Oryzias latipes: one gene and its partners. The protein of the gene in region 1 interacts with the protein of each later gene in a pairwise test. Links are inferred from orthologs where the notes say so. Each region holds a gene or a part of one and is shown in the gene's direction. Other genes may lie near its edges.

The links.
Region 2: the proteins of gps2 (region 1) and sestd1 interact in binary tests that used the Homo sapiens proteins (3 or more experiments, as listed by UniProt). The two-hybrid records come from large-scale screens. The link is inferred for Oryzias latipes from reciprocal best matches to the Homo sapiens genes GPS2 and SESTD1.
Region 3: the proteins of gps2 (region 1) and tfip11 interact in binary tests that used the Homo sapiens proteins (3 or more experiments, as listed by UniProt). The two-hybrid records come from large-scale screens. The link is inferred for Oryzias latipes from reciprocal best matches to the Homo sapiens genes GPS2 and TFIP11.

What each region holds. Positions count from the first base shown.
Region 1 is NC_019876.2:14,445,705-14,450,815, forward strand, and holds the start of gps2 (G protein pathway suppressor 2), read left to right. Parts: upstream 1-2,035; 5' UTR 2,036-2,142; exon of another isoform or gene 2,143-2,202; intron 2,203-2,605; 5' UTR 2,606-2,629; coding exon 2,630-2,750; intron 2,751-3,299; coding exon 3,300-3,409; intron 3,410-3,502; coding exon 3,503-3,615; intron 3,616-3,687; coding exon 3,688-3,767; intron 3,768-3,879; coding exon 3,880-3,959; intron 3,960-4,833; coding exon 4,834-5,005; intron 5,006-5,111. Other genes in the region: gabarap (gamma-aminobutyric acid receptor-associated protein), read left to right, coding at 231-309, 407-525, 611-691. UniProt on the Homo sapiens protein: Key regulator of inflammation, lipid metabolism and mitochondrion homeostasis that acts by inhibiting the activity of the ubiquitin-conjugating enzyme UBE2N/Ubc13, thereby inhibiting 'Lys-63'-linked ubiquitination.
Region 2 is NC_019879.2:6,612,079-6,617,189, reverse strand, and holds the start of sestd1 (SEC14 domain and spectrin repeat-containing protein 1), read left to right. Parts: upstream 1-1,883; 5' UTR 1,884-2,165; intron 2,166-4,365; coding exon 4,366-4,435; intron 4,436-4,520; coding exon 4,521-4,629; intron 4,630-5,111. UniProt on the Homo sapiens protein: May act as the primary docking protein directing membrane turnover and assembly of the transient receptor potential channels TRPC4 and TRPC5.
Region 3 is NC_019867.2:13,548,169-13,553,279, forward strand, and holds the start of tfip11 (tuftelin-interacting protein 11), read left to right. Parts: upstream 1-1,858; 5' UTR 1,859-1,987; intron 1,988-2,386; 5' UTR 2,387-2,388; coding exon 2,389-2,594; intron 2,595-2,673; coding exon 2,674-2,839; intron 2,840-2,920; coding exon 2,921-3,077; intron 3,078-3,186; coding exon 3,187-3,314; intron 3,315-3,444; coding exon 3,445-3,606; intron 3,607-3,839; coding exon 3,840-4,031; intron 4,032-4,142; coding exon 4,143-4,322; intron 4,323-4,465; coding exon 4,466-4,600; intron 4,601-4,727; coding exon 4,728-4,831; intron 4,832-4,908; coding exon 4,909-5,077; intron 5,078-5,111. Other genes in the region: srrd (SRR1-like protein), read right to left, coding at 200-440, 518-669, 774-872, 958-1,136, 1,224-1,264, 1,375-1,517. UniProt on the Homo sapiens protein: Involved in pre-mRNA splicing, specifically in spliceosome disassembly during late-stage splicing events. Intron turnover seems to proceed through reactions in two lariat-intron associated complexes termed Intron Large (IL) and Intron Small (IS).

The sequences.
Region 1 (5,111 bases):
TTTCAGACAAATCAATCATGCATTCATTGTATTTTCCCCTAATGATGTTGAGCCACATTTAGGTCATTTCAGTTCCCACCTGACACAAGGTTGATTTTTTTTTTTTTTTCAGTTCCCTTTTCTTAGAAAGGTGAAGCACGCAGGGGAAAAATTTCTCGCTGTGTGAATTTAAATCTTAACAGAAATCTGTTGTGGAAATGCTGCTTTAATTTTTTTTCTTTTTTCTTCAGGTTATTGTGGAGAAAGCCCCCAAGGCTAGAATAGGAGATCTGGACAAGAAAAAATACCTTGTCCCTTCTGACTTAACAGGTAAACATATCACTCTTTTAAAAGAAAAAGAAAAAAGTACGGTTCACTTTTTACCGTTGTATAAGAAATTGTATTTTCTTTTTTTTTTTTTTTTAAGTGGGCCAGTTTTACTTCCTCATCCGGAAAAGAATCCACTTAAGAGCAGAGGATGCTCTCTTCTTCTTTGTAAACAACGTCATTCCTCCCACCTCAGCAACCATGGGACTGTTGTACCAGGCAAGAGTCTAACTCACTGAATTTTTAACTGTTACTGAAAGTATTTCCTCTGTTCCTCTTATTTTACTCTATTTGATTTCCTCAGGAGCACCACGAAGAGGACTTTTTCCTCTACATTGCCTACAGTGATGAGAGTGTGTATGGGAACAGCCAAAGGGAAATGTGATCCCCTTCAACCACCTTTCTGAGACCTTTGTCATTCATTCATTTAAAAAGTAAAATCCAGCTTGGCAGTGTAGAGTTCCCAGAGTAAATGTCATCTGCACTTTCACTTCTCACAAACACAATCTTTTACATATTCATTTATGACTTTTTCTATTTTGCAGTCTGAATTGTATTTGCCTTCTCTGGTTTGGTTTTTGGGAATCGTACTCCACAGAATGCCTGATAAAGAAAAGTGAAAATAAAATCTCAACCGCTATGCGCTTGTATTTACTTCTGAGTGCAGAAAACAGAGGCAGAATTTGTTGAGTTAAATTGACCCCTGCCTGGTAATAAGTATAAATAGTGCTTGTCAAATTTTGACAAGACTTTGATGATGAAAAAGATTTTGGTTTATGTTTTAAAGTCAATAATTTTCAAAAGAATAGTGATAGTGCTGCCAGCGGTAGTGATCTTTTTTTTTTTTCCTTTTGATTTATTTTATTTTAAATTTAAAGAGGTCACGGTAAGCTTTATTTTTATTAAATTGTTAAATCCCAAAACACTAGTATTTCCTTCCTCATATTTAATCTTTGCGAGGACTATAATAGGATTCAGACTGCTCAATCATTCTCTGCTTTCAGTGGTAAAATTATTTTGACAGCTAATATGATTATTGTTGTTATTATTGTTAATTTTAGGTGGCTCACTTTCTAAAGAAGTTGTAAAGCTGAGTGTAATTTTCTTTTTAAGTTTCTTATTTTTTAAAAAGGATTTACAGTAGAACTCTGTATACGGCTGCATTAATGGCTCTTTCTCTCCACTCATGATCGTATATGATAAAATGTTATGAAAGTTGATATTTGTTTCCTGACTTTTTTTATGGTCTGATGATTTTACTGGATAGTAAAAAAATTACATTAAGATTAAAAGGTCATTAAAAAAAGGTGGGATCTAGTCCTAAATGGAAAAACTGTTGCCTATCTTTGATATGAAAGTTAAACAAAACATACAAAAGAAAAATAGGAATATGTTTAAAGTATTTTATCTCTCTTGATAAACCTAGGTAAGTTTGGTCTTTTGATTTTAGAAGTACGTGGCTGTTAGTATAAAAAAAAGGTTATATATATAGTCTGTAAATATAGAGAAAGTTATTAAAAAATGGGGGCATTGGAATGTCCTTATTACAAAATATAGGCTAACTTAAATTTAAAAATATGAGTGCAACATTTTTATTTTACAATTAATACTGTTTTTAAATTCTGTAGTTCAAAATGTGACTTCTGAAATCCACTTAAGCTAGATTTAGAAGATCTAAAAGTGTTGGTCTGAATTTAAACTCCACATTGAAACGCAAATTCCCATGATGCAAATGGGGCAGCCGTGTCTTTTAACCGGAAGTAGAACTCTTTCCCCCGGTCCTAAAACCTCTGTTTATATTCGCGGCCGAAAGTTTTGCCGGATAAAAGCAAAAAGGTAGATATTACAAAAGGCGACACAGTCTGGTTCTTAAAAACGGCAACATTAACGATAAAAGTAAGCATCTTTTCTGAAATAAATTAGCTGTTAGCAAGCATTAAAATAATATAGTATAAACTCCGTCGCGCACTTATTTGTTTAGCTGGTGTGGCTAACTTTAGCTAACAATTGGGTCTTTTTGCACACAGATATACGCATGTTTGTCTTGGACGTATCTTACTTATCACAAACATTCATGTTAAATTTTGCTGCTAGATTAGCGGGTTTATTATTTTTAAAGATTTTGCCGTCTTATCCTTGTTCAGGCTAGCATCACGCAGTACTTGTTTAAATTAAGCTAGGTCATGGCTCGGTATAAACCCTTCCAAAACAGATTAAAAGGTTTATTTAGTTCAATTTTCAGTAAAATTACTTGAGTCTTTTTAGCCCACTTATACTAAACCTCTGAACTTTAAAACAGCTGGCCCCTCCGTTACCAGTGACCATGCCTGCCTTGTTGGAGAGACCGAAACTGTCCAACGCGATGGCCAGAGCCCTCCACAAGCACATCATGAGGGAGAGGGAGCGCAAAAGACAAGGTCAGTGTCATCAAATGAAAAGGAGAAGTAAGTTAACCGAACAGAAATAATCATTCTTCTTTGATTTTCTAGGAGATTTCATTTAAGGCCCACTCCAATCAAATCTTGATCTGTTTTAAAAGCGTTCCCAGTGGCCAGTTTATTATGATTCTGCCGGTTTTAGGCTAAATCAAAAAGTCTGTATCGTTTTCTAGGACGTAGTTTTTGCAGAACAACAGTACCTCACATGGATTTTTTTTGCCTCCAAGTGGAGGCCTCATAATGGAGCAGAGCAGGCTGCTTGTGGCTTGCTGTTGGGTCTATGTCAAAACTGTGAGCTTTTTACAATGACGTTTTTACATCTACTCCTGATTCACAATGATTTGAATAAAAAAAAAATTATATATCTCCTCTATCATGAAAAAAAAAGGCCACAAGAACATGTTTAAAATACCAAACATATAATTTTCATTGGAGTGGGTCTCTAAAATCTGTCTCTGACCTTCTTGACAATTATCATTACAAGTAACTTTATCATGTTTCAGATGTGTGAAAGTGTTACAGGTGATGCTAAATCTTGTCCCTGTAACCTTTCAGAGGAAGAGGAGGTGGATAAAATGATGGAGCAAAAGCTGAAGGAGGAGGAGGAGAGGAAAAGAACCAAAGAAATAGAGGAAAGGATGTCATTAGAGGAAACCAAAGAACAGGTGAGCACCTGCCATCAAAGATGACCCTTATTTTAGGATTTTTAACTGACTCTTTAGTTCTTCCTTTTAATGACATTTCTCCCCTGATGTCAGGTGATGAAAATGGGAGAAAAACTTCAGGGACTTCAAGAAGAAAAGCATCAGCTGTTTCTGCAACTCAAAAAGGTTCTCCATGAGGAGGAGAAGAGGCGCAGAAAGGAGCAGAGGTATTTTCATTCAACAGTTGTTTAGTCCACGAATGATGCCTCTTGTAATTTTGCGCCTCCTTCTGTTATCAGTGATATAACAACGCTGACATCTGCCAGTTACCAACAGAGCCTGCCCATGCACACAGGACAGCACCTCCTTAATATTCAAGGTGAGCTACTAAACCATGAATACACATTTCATAAAAAGGTTGTATGTTTTGTTAGCTAATTTCAGCACTAAGATCATTTTGTTTGTTTATTTATTTCTTTTTTTGAGGGTAGGTAGTCCAGTGAGCCACAGTCGAGCTGGAGCACTACTTGGAGAAAGAAACAAACAGTTGTACACAACAACCGTGATCCCTGTAAGTACAAGTGGGCTGTTAAAAAAACGTCTTGTTAAGTTCTTTACTTAGTTCTGTTGTTTGGAAAAGCCTGGGCCAAGCTGCTTTGCTTTACTTCGGTTCTAACCCGAGTAATGCCTACAAAACCTGCGTATAGCCACTTTGCATATAACCAAAAATAATAAAGTGGACTATTATGAACATTTTATTCTCTAAATCAAAAAAAATGTATCAAGCTAAAACAAAACCACCTCCACAGAACAAAACTGTTTAAGAACAAGGAAGGAGGATATTCTTTAAACAACCTTGTGTACGGACAGCCCAAAAAAGTCAACATTTCTGTCTGTGAAAATGAGTAAAAATGATAAACACAATGGAGAAAAAAGTGCAACCTGAACATTTTGGAAATGTATAAATTAGAAAAGGAGAAATGTGATGTTTGGTTCCTAGATGCTTTTATTTATTTTTTCCCCTTCAGTTATTTTATGTTTTTAATTTTTATTAGTAAAAATGTATGTATTAAATATAGTAAGATTGGTGGTGGGAATTAATAAGATTTTCCTTGTACCCACTCCTTTTTCGAGCACTTCTATTTATCATGTTTATAGCTATTTTATTTTGAAAATAAAAGTAAGTTAATGGAAGGTTCACCGCTGAAACTCTGTTTTTAACAACTTTTTGTCAGAGTCTAAAGCCCTACCTAAATTCCAAACCAGCTTTTTAATACAGAAAATATATTTTTAAAGTGTTTATCCCACTGTGTATGAAAAATAATTTTTTTTGGTGGCCTAGCAACTACACAAAACATTTTTTTTTGTGGAAAATGTCAATCAAATGTTGTCAATCAAGTCACTCTTTTTCCCAGGTTTTCTCACTTCCTCTGGCTTATCTCTAGGGACGGCATTTTCAAACGGGGGGATTCAGCTCTGGCTCAGCAGAACATGGACAGTTCAGTGGAGGACAAGGAGTCCACGAGGCGTACGGCGTAGCTCAGGCCCAGCATCCATCCAGCTACGCTCCAGGACCTTCTGTGTCTGCAAGTTTTGCTAGCAGCTCGCAGATCCGAGGTAGGGAACGTTTAGAAGTTTCTTCAGAACATAGATGGCTCAAATACAGTTCTTCAGTGTGAGATTCGCTTAACCCTAAGTATTCTACCATACAGTTTGCCTTATT
Region 2 (5,111 bases), on another chromosome or scaffold:
AGCGAGAAAAAATCTTTTAATCCTGGTTACACCACTGTTTTGAGATTTAAAAAAAAAAAAATCATGGTAATTCAAATGGTTTGGTGCCAGAACATCCAGTTTAGGAGCTGATGTTTCTGCTTACAGACAGCAATGATGATAATAGAGAAAATACTATATATAAAATAAAACTATAGGGGGACATTTTTTTTTTACATTTCTGTTGTGGATATAATTAATAATGCAGCCAAAAGGTGCCACAATAAAGTTTTTTTCTTCTTCTTTTTAAAGTCTAAGACATCAAACACTGAAACCTTAAGAGACCGCTAAACCAAATTGTCTACAGAAGCAAAAATATATGAAGTTCTAAAGGAAGTATAAAAAAATACCAAAATACTGAAATGGTCCTTCTGAGAATCAGCTTTTTGATTAATTGTCATTGTAACAAATTATGTTTTGTAGTAGTATTTTTAATAGACTACTTTGAGCTTCTGCCACACAATCAAATTATTTGTTAAATTTGCAAATAAATGAAAACTGTTTTTTTTAACATATATTTATCGACTGTATAAGAGATACAGTCAATAAATGCACATTTATTATTATAATGCTTTCAAAGACTATTTGCAAAAGTTGTTTCCGCACATGGCTGGGGCCTTGAGGACACCAAAGGGGAAAAAAAACCCACTGCACTGACCTGGGCGTGGTCTGTTTAAATCTGGCGCCACCCCGTTTTGTCAAGTATTTTAAAATAGAGGCAAATAGACTTTCAAAATAAAGGCACTGAAGAAATAAGCACTATGAGAAAAAAGAACATAGCGTAGCAATGCCACTTAGTTATTAGCACTGCTGCAATGCTAATGCTACTTAATTAATCTATAAGTAGTGTCATCAATGACAGACTTTTTTGTTGTTCTGTTCTTACATAAATTATTAACTTTTTTATGTTTTTAATTATGCAAGTTACCTTGACAAAAAGTATTTAATTTAAATGTACTACAAGTAGCTTATACTTAGTTAATACTAAAAGTGAGGCAGTATGTTTGACATTTGCTTTTTATATACTGTCTATATATTGCACATGTAAATCGTTTCAGTTAATATACTTCCTATACATGCACATGGTTTAGTATACTTGCTATACCAATACTCAAGTATGCTTGAAAAAAAATCAAGGATACTACTTTTTTCCAGGGGTTGCTCATAGCTGTGATGTGCCTCATATTTAGTGTAAACCTCTCCATTTTCAGATTTCTCTAAAAGTTTGTTTGTAGGCTACTCAGAGCCAAACTTTGTGTTTTTATTTTATCTACCGTGTGTTTGGTATATTTCTGTAGCTCAACCTTGAGTAACCTCTAGTATAACCTCAAGGTTGTGCTAAAGAACTTTTAGGTCTACAAAGAGGGCAAATATTTTTGATCTTTTTTCCTACTTAATGAAAACAAATATATTGTTGGTTCCCATACAAGCATTCAAGCATTTGCCTTTGATATTTATTTTACCCTCATAGGGTGACATTTATGTGTCCCCCTTCTCTCTCTCTTTTTTTTTTTTTTTTTACACATTATTAGATAAAAAATTTAAATACATGAGAAAAATTGGTGGCCATATTCTAGAATAAATCATACTGGAAAATCTATGTGTTTAGAATGGTTAAAATTATGATAAGTTGTCATCTGGTTAGTAGTTTTCTTAATCAGATTTTTATTGGCATGTAAATATGCCTACTGGTGAGGCTGATCATATGTTCACTATTTTCTTTTTTTCATTTATTGATTTGACAATACTATTCAGAAAATATTTCCTTTCTCTATTGACTACCTCTCTCTCAATATTTGAAGATTGAAGATAAAAGAAAAAGGCTTTAATTTTGAAATCCGATTCTGCCGGAAATCACACTTAACCATTTGGCTTTACGGAGCCTGCGCAAAGCTGCGGGCTCCTCCGCCTGTCCTGTGTGTTTCCACTGTTGTTTGAAGCAAGCGGAGAGAAAACTGAGATTTTTTTCTCTGTTTTAAAGCATAAAACAATTAAGTTTCGGTTTATTTCACTCTGTGATAGAAAAAAGACAAATAGAAAAGGAGGGAAAAGCTGTAAAATACGAGGTCAGACAAGGAAAGAGGCGGAGAGGAGGACTGGGAGGAGAGATTTAGCTCAGTGGAAAAATGCTACGGATTTGATAAAAGGTAAGAAAATCCTCCATGTCGATACTTTATTGATCCCAAAGAGGTCGATGCGGGGCGGTTAGAGGCTGCGGCGAGGGTTGGGGGAGCTACAGCCGCAGGAGCGGCGAGCTGCGGTTTCCACATGTAGGTCATTGTGTCTGTGGGTCTCAACCAGAGAAAAACTGAGCCAAACCGTGCCGGGGGTCCTGCAGCCGCAGCCGAGCTAAGGCCAGGCCGCAGGGGGAGGACGAAGCCCCGCAGCTGGACTGAGTCGCTCCTCCTGACTCCTAATCCTGCCAAAAGATACAGGCCTTCATCAAATGTAATGACCCAGTTTCTCTTAGCAGCACTAAAATACTGATGGAGCTGCTGCATTCAGGGACGAACAGGAAAAAAGAAACGCTAAGAACGCAGCAATAACTAATGTCTAAAAAGTTAACTTTTTAGATCATTAACAATACTTCTAACTCTAAATGTGTTTACATTTAAAATATATATTTTAATTAAAGAAAAGAAGCACATACAGAGATTTTATTAAGTAAAACACACATCAAGAGTAAAAAGTTTGATCAGATTTCACAGATTAACTTTCTTTTACTCATCTTTCCGGTAGTCTTTTAATAATGAGTTTGTCTTTTTTTCCTAAATTAAAAACAAACAAACATGTAGTTCAGTAGAAATTCGCCTCTTAGTTGACACAGAGTGAGCCTGCCCTCACTTTCCCATCATCCATCTGTTGACATGCTCTCCCGCTGGCCTACAGCCCCCCCAAAAAAACCCCACTGGTGCAGCAAAAATGGCGAGCAATATCGTTGCTACCCAGCTGTGCAGTTATGAGCCAGATGTTGACTCGTACAAGGAAAGCAAAGACGAACGTGGATCTATTTGTCTCCAAGTGGATCCATCAGAATGGAGCAGAGCAGGATGCTTGGGGGGGGCTTGCCATTGTTGTTCAAACTGCATTTTGTTTCGTCTGCTCTTAAATCACGATTTAAAAAAAACAAACAAACTCAGAAATGCAATTTGAAGCTTAATTTTCTTTTTATATATTTGTCCGTCATCATCAGAAAAATGCCACAAGAACATGTTCAAAACAGCATTTTCTTTGGAGTGAGTCTTTAACAAACACGGTGATGTTACAACAACCCATAAACAAACGTGGCACACATTTATACTTATGTTTAACAGTAGACAATAAACACAAAAAGGACAAAGACAGGAAAGGAGAACAGTGGGAGTCGACTGAGGTTCCATTCATTCGTTTTTTCATTTATCCATTGTCGTATTTGGGTAGAAGTCTATGGTCATATTCATACATATTTATATTAAGTGATTCGTCATTAAACAACATCAAACTTGAACATTCAAGTATAATTGTTTCCACTCTGTTGTTAAAAATATCCATCCCAATATGAATGAAGGAGGTAAGTTTGTTTTAGTTTAGTTTTGCGTTCTGTTATTGTTGATGCTTTGAAATTGTCCAGTTAATTGTGATCATTTTTCTTGTACTTCCTAATAATATATATAATACATCATCTATATTATATATAAAGCAGTATATTTGAAGGCATTACCTTTTTAAGTAACAGTATTTTTTCGATTACCTCTTCATATTTGATCCAATTATTGGATAGGCCAGTCCCAATTGGACAATTGGACAGTCCAAATTATATTTATCTGGGATTTTTCACTTTTCTTTCGTTGTGTCCATGACCAAGGTAGTGTCTCTTTGCAGCAACATATAAAAGAATTTATTTGTTATTCCTTTTTTATTTATTTCATAAAGACTGTGCAAAGAAAACAGCAGTTAGAAGATGAGAACTTAAACGATAGGAATGTGCTGATTTACTGCGCGAAGCGAGGCGCGCATCATCAGGCAGTGAATTTAAGGCTGAATTGAAGCCAACGCTCTCAATCTACTGGGAGTAAAGCCAACGCTGAGAAAATGGCACAATCCCTGTCATGTTCATGTAACGCTTCAGCTGGGATTTGCAGTGTCTGCAGCACGACATACTGTCTTAAAGTTGGGAGTTTAAGTAAACATTCAGGTTTTTCTTAAAGTTTCTATCAGCCTGTTGTTTGGCGATCTGCTGTTCTTTGAAGCCGAGGAGAAGTGTTGGACTTTCTGATGAGTTTGAGGAAGCCAGATGGTAGTTCATTCGGATATTTTTTATAAAACGGTCAGGAAAACCAAGTAAAAATAGGTTTCTTTTATTTCCAGATGTCTGCCGTCAGCATGGAAGCAACAATCATCCTCCCCATCCTCAAGAAGAAGCTGGCCTTTCTGTCAGGTAGCACGCATGCGCATGCAGAGGGGAGGTGGGTAGGCCTGTGGTTTTCTGAGCAAACAACCTCACTGCATCTTGTCTTTGAAAGGCGGCAAAGACCGGCGCAGCGGTCTGATCCTGACCATCCCCCTCAATTCAGATCAGACCAGCATGGAGGAGCTCAGTGCCACTTTGGACTACCTGCTCAGCATCCCAAGGTGCGTCTAGTCTGTGAGCGCTTCTGCTCCCTGTAGCCGTCCCATTCGAGCTTTACCCGGTCAAGTTTGGGTTTATGTTGCTCTCAGAAAAGCTGCTGGGTGTAAATACAGTGAAATGTTTTGCACTGTTGTGTGTTTTGCCTGAACTTTCAATTTTTCCTTGTAATTTTTCCCCCTTTTTAGGAATCCAGCATCTATTTAAAACCATTTTGTTCCCTAAAAACTTGTATAATTGTTGTCTGAGAATTTCCTCCTATTAGGTTTTAATTTTTGGGGGGTTTATTTCCTGGTTGATTCTTTTCATTAACTTTTGACTTGCTTTATTTTAGTTTTAGAAATGTCAATCTAGAAGCACTTTTATTGATCACTCAACCCATAAGAACCCAGACGCTTTTTCTTTTTTTTTAAATTTTACTTATTTTATTTAACCTCCAATTGAGATCAGATCTTTTTTTCAAGGGAGAACTGGTCCAAAAGGCACC
Region 3 (5,111 bases), on another chromosome or scaffold:
AGTTGCTAGAAGTGTTGCGAAAGGGGATAAAGTTCTAAAAAAATGGAAAGTACTATAACGCCATATACATGAAGAAAACCATCTTTAACTAATTGGCTTGATTTGTAATGTTCCACTTTCGTTTTGTGAAAAATCTGAACATAATAGTTTCCTACATGTTTGAAAATTTATATCAAAATTTTATTTCAATGAAGTCCAGTCAGCTCTGAGTTTCCTTCAGGATTATCTCCAAATCCTGGCGGTCTCTGTATTCAGGTTCAGGTGACTCAGCCCAGTTAGTCTGTGGCACTTTGTGTAAGATGTGGGGAGGAAAAGCAATGACTGCCGTATCACTGAAGACATCTATCATGTGAGAAGGACAAGGCAGCATTTTTTCCTCACAGAGGTCCACAGCTTTACTGATGTAGCTGTATTCCTGTTTGAACACTCTTTCCACCGTTCTGCAACAGACAGAGGACATTATTTCATCTCTGTTTGCTAAAAACGATGCGCTCCATCATCAGTGTTTTCTACGAACCTTTCCCTCATACCATTGAAGCTGTTTCCAATGATTACAAGCTGGTATAATCCCCGTAAGCTCCAGTTTTTCCACAGTAGGTTGTTGTACAGAGCCTTCCCACAGTGCATGAGATAAAAAAGAGTGGGCTTGGTCACCAGACGCTTCCCCTCCTAAATAAAACAGCGGATACTTTAGTCTGTTTAGATCTCAGTTACGGTGATAACATCAGCAGTTTGTTCTCTAGAAGTGCAAAAAGAAAAACAATTGACATGACCTCGTTTTCTGTGAGTACAGTCATTCCCAGCTCCCTCAAGACATCCTGCTCTCCAGAGGAGAATATGGGATCATAAACCAAGCAATCCCTTAAGGAAACCTTTAGGAGAAAAAAAACTAAATGAGCAACTCAAAACAAACATAACACATGTTTGTTAGAACATAGTCTAATGCTCTCTTCTGACCTGTAATACTTCCAGCAGCAGAAGCAGCATGGCAAGCTGATACCGGGCTGCAGTGCAAGAAGAAAAGGAGCCAAGGCCATAACACACACACTCCAGCTGATCACCTGTGTTCTTCAGATGCTCCTCAGTGACGTCCTTCTCTGCAGATGCTGATGCTGTGGATGCCATCAGCAGCTCATCTGAGGACGAGGAACATAAGAGTTACAATTCAATTACACACTAAATAAAAAAAACATGTCTAAAAAATTTGGTTATGTTTTACTTACCTTTCCATTTGTGCCAAAACTCTTCGCATCTCAACTCAGTCCTATGAGACAGAGAGTAAAGAATGAGATATCAGAATTAGTTTTCCCCTCGATAAGGCACAATGAACTATGTTTATGAGTGGTTTTCCGTTTTTTTTATTTTATTTCTTACACAGTGGTCCTGATCCGTCTGACAACTTTCTCGACATCAAGCTGGTCTTCTTGGACGCTGGTGGAACTTAAAGGCACATGAGATTTAAACTTCCTTGTTTGCCCTTTTCGACGCCGAGCGACCTGCCACTCACTTTCAGACATTTTTTTTATCTCATTCCCATCATTCAACGATCTATAATAAAATGTTAGGGGTGAAAAAAAAACAGTGATAATAATTAAAAAACAAACACCCTAATCACCTCCGCCACAAAATCAGCAGCGCGTAGGACGGTTTTAAGTGTAACACATTTGTCTTCCGGTGTAACGCCAAAATAAAAGCTTTTATCACATAATTTATTAACCTAAATGTGTGGTGTTGCTGTTTTAACTTAGAGAAATTTATATAAAAACCAACACAAATCTTTAGTAAATGCAAACAAATAAAAATAAGTAAAATCTCAAAGTTTTAAGGTCACAACATTTATTCGTCAGTACTGACGGACAGACTTTACCCGGAAGTATTTCCACGTTCGTGCGTTGAACGAAAAGCTACACAGATAACCTCTTCTTGCTACAGACAGCCAAGAATGAGTTTTAATTAATCTCTAAGTGTATAAACTATTTCTTGTCAAGTAAGCTTTGTTTGTATTAAGTGCCTTTCTACTTTCCAAGTTCGAAATGTTTCTGCAGTCGTAATGGGATTTAATGTCCCAACTATCGTTAGCTAGATTTCGCTAAAAAATCTCATCATTTGCATTATTAATATCTGAGTTCTGTTAGTTAATACCTTTTTGCTTGAAACTTCTTAATGTATTTTTACGCTTTCAATCATACAAATGTGCAATACAGTTGATATTTATGTTGATAATTGTTTGTGACCGAAACAGTTTTGTGGCTAGCTTCGTGCTTAGCTAGCGTTAGCAATCATTGCTGACTGTGGTTTCATGCTGTTGTACGATTTTTTAAGCAACTTGAATGTTTTTCAATTGTATGGCTTTTATGATTTTTTTTTGTATTGGGTCTCTATCTAGAAATGTCGATGTCCCATCTTTACGGGCGGAGGGAAGAAGAGGAAGAAGGTGTGGAGATCGAAAGCTTCGAGGTGACAGACTGGGATCTGGCCAATGAGTTTAACCCAGAACGCCGCAGGTTTAGGCAGACCAAGGAGCAGGCCACTTATGGGATCTGGGCTGACAAAGATTCAGATGAAGATGAGAGACCCAGCTTTGGTGGCAAGAGGTAATTCACAGGTTTGATGCTCTGATGTCTAAATGTGAAAATTTTTGCAGAGGATGTTAACAGTGTACATTTTCTTTAGGTCGAAAGATTACAGCACCCCAGTGAATTTTGTTAGTGCCGGTCTACGTAAAACTGCAGCCGAGGAGAAACAGCAAGACAAAGAAGAAGGTTCTGATGATTCGGAAGAGGATGCCCCTGCAGTTCCCCCTCCTACTCGTGGAATTGCACCTAGAAAACTTCAGATGGTAAAGTTTCGCTTAAGAACATATTTTATCTAAAAAAGCTTTCTTTTTAAACTGACGTCTATAATTTCTTTGTTTTGTCAGAGTAATTTTCGTGGGAATCAGTCCCAGAGGTTTGCTGGTGGAATACAATCTGGACAGGGTATTGGAACCTGGGAGAAGCACACAAAAGGAATTGGACAGAAGCTTCTGCAGAAAATGGGTTACCAGCCTGGAAAGGGGCTTGGAAAAAATGCTCAAGGTAGGCAGCGTAAAGGAGGAAAAGTACTGTACACGATTGTGCTTTTGCATGCATTTCAGAGGGAAAATAATAGAGATTTTATTGCCATGCCTCTGTTTTGTTTATGTAGGTATTGTAAACCCTATTGAGGCAAAGGTCCGTAAAGGTAAAGGAGCTGTAGGTGCATATGGCAATGAGAGAACCCAGCAGAGTCTGCAGGACTTCCCTGTGGTTGACTCTGAAGAAGAGGAGGAAAAGGTGAGATTTTGCCACGAGCAGTTCTTTACTCCATATAATCTTGTTTTCACAGTGATTGTGTATCTGAAGAATTGAGGGCTAACTGTGAAATTATCTTCTTGTTTTTCTCCTGTAATGTGTGTTGTTGTAGGAGTTTCAAAAAGAATTGGGTCAGTGGCGAAAGGATCCTGCGGGCTCCGCAGTCAAGAAGAAACCAAAATACTCATACAGAACTGCAGATGAGCTGAGGGCTAAAGGCAAAATGGTTTCTCGGAACATGGCAGCATCTGCAGGAGAGTTGGCGCAGGTTAAGGTGCGTTAAAATCCTGCGTTATGTCCTTTTAATTTCGGGTCAGAACAATGAAAAAAACCACAAACTTTAATATTTTAAAGAGCTTCACAAGCATCTACTTGTTTTTTTTTTTTTTTTTACATTTCCTCCTTTCAGCATAAAACTGAAATAAATTGAAAGATTTTTATGGCCATGGAAGTAAAATGATTCAAGTTTTCTTTTTATTAATTGTTTTTATCTCTCTTCAAATTTAGGTTATAGATATGACTGTAAGAGAGCCAAAGGTTTACTACAGTTACAGTCAGATAGCCAACAAACACAGTGTTCCCGATGAAACCCCACCAGCCATGTCCACACGGGATCAGAAGGGTTCCGGCTTCGCTCTCCCTGAGCTTGAGCATAATCTTCAGCTGCTGATCGACCTCACAGAACAGGACATTTTACAGGTCAGAGGAAAATCTGAAATTCTTTCAAATCATTTTCAACTATTAACCCGTTTCAAGTGGGCTTCCAGATTTAATTTTTTTCTTCTGCTCTCTTTATTTATTCTTTTGTAGTCGGCCAGACGTCTACAGCATGAAAAGGACGTGGTCGTTTCTCTGAGTCATGAGTCCCGTGCGTTGCAGAGCAGACTAGAAGCAGAGCAAGATGCCATCCAGAAAATGGAGGCTGTTTTGGCACTGGTGGAGCGTTTTCCCTCTGGAGAGACGCCACCAGGGGAGGGACCGACTCTTCAGGTACGTGGCACATGAAAATACCCAAACTAGATGTACTTATCTTGCAGTTTATTTGTTCCTAATGGTTTTTAATCTCCATTCTTCTAACATTTAATCATTTTGAACATACTTATTTGTTTATTTTCTCACCTCTCTGTGCCCAGGAGTGTGCCCAGATCTTTGAGACTTTACAAACAGATTATTATGAAGAGTATAAAATGATGGGATTGGCAGACCTGGCTGTGGCAGTTGTTCATCCTTTACTTAAGGAGAAACTTCACTCATGGGAGCCTCTAAAGGTTTTTTTTTTTTAATTATTCTAATTAAATTATTACGCTTTTATTTCTGTGGGGGGGAAAACAAACACCTTATTTTCAACATGTTGCTCAATTAAGATACTAGAGTTAAGACTGTTTTTTGTTGTAGGACAGTGCATACTGTCTGGAAGACATTGGTCAGTGGAGAGCAATCCTTGAATCCAGGGATCTTCGTTCCAGTGGCCCAGACTCCAACATGGATCCTTACCACAGGTCTGTTTAAAATACTCACTTTTACATGTAAATGTTCACATTTTGATTTTTAACTGCATGTGTCTCTCTTTGCTTAGACTTTTATGGGAAGTGTGGATCCCTGTGATGCGTATGTGTGTGTCCGGGTGGCAGCCCCGTATGGTTGGACCGATGGTGGACTGTGTGACGTTGTGGGCTCCTCTTCTGCCTCAGTGGATCCTGGATCACCTACTGGAACAGCTGATCTTACCCCGCCTGCAGCGCGAGGCAAGGCACACAAATTATAACAATCCTACATGCT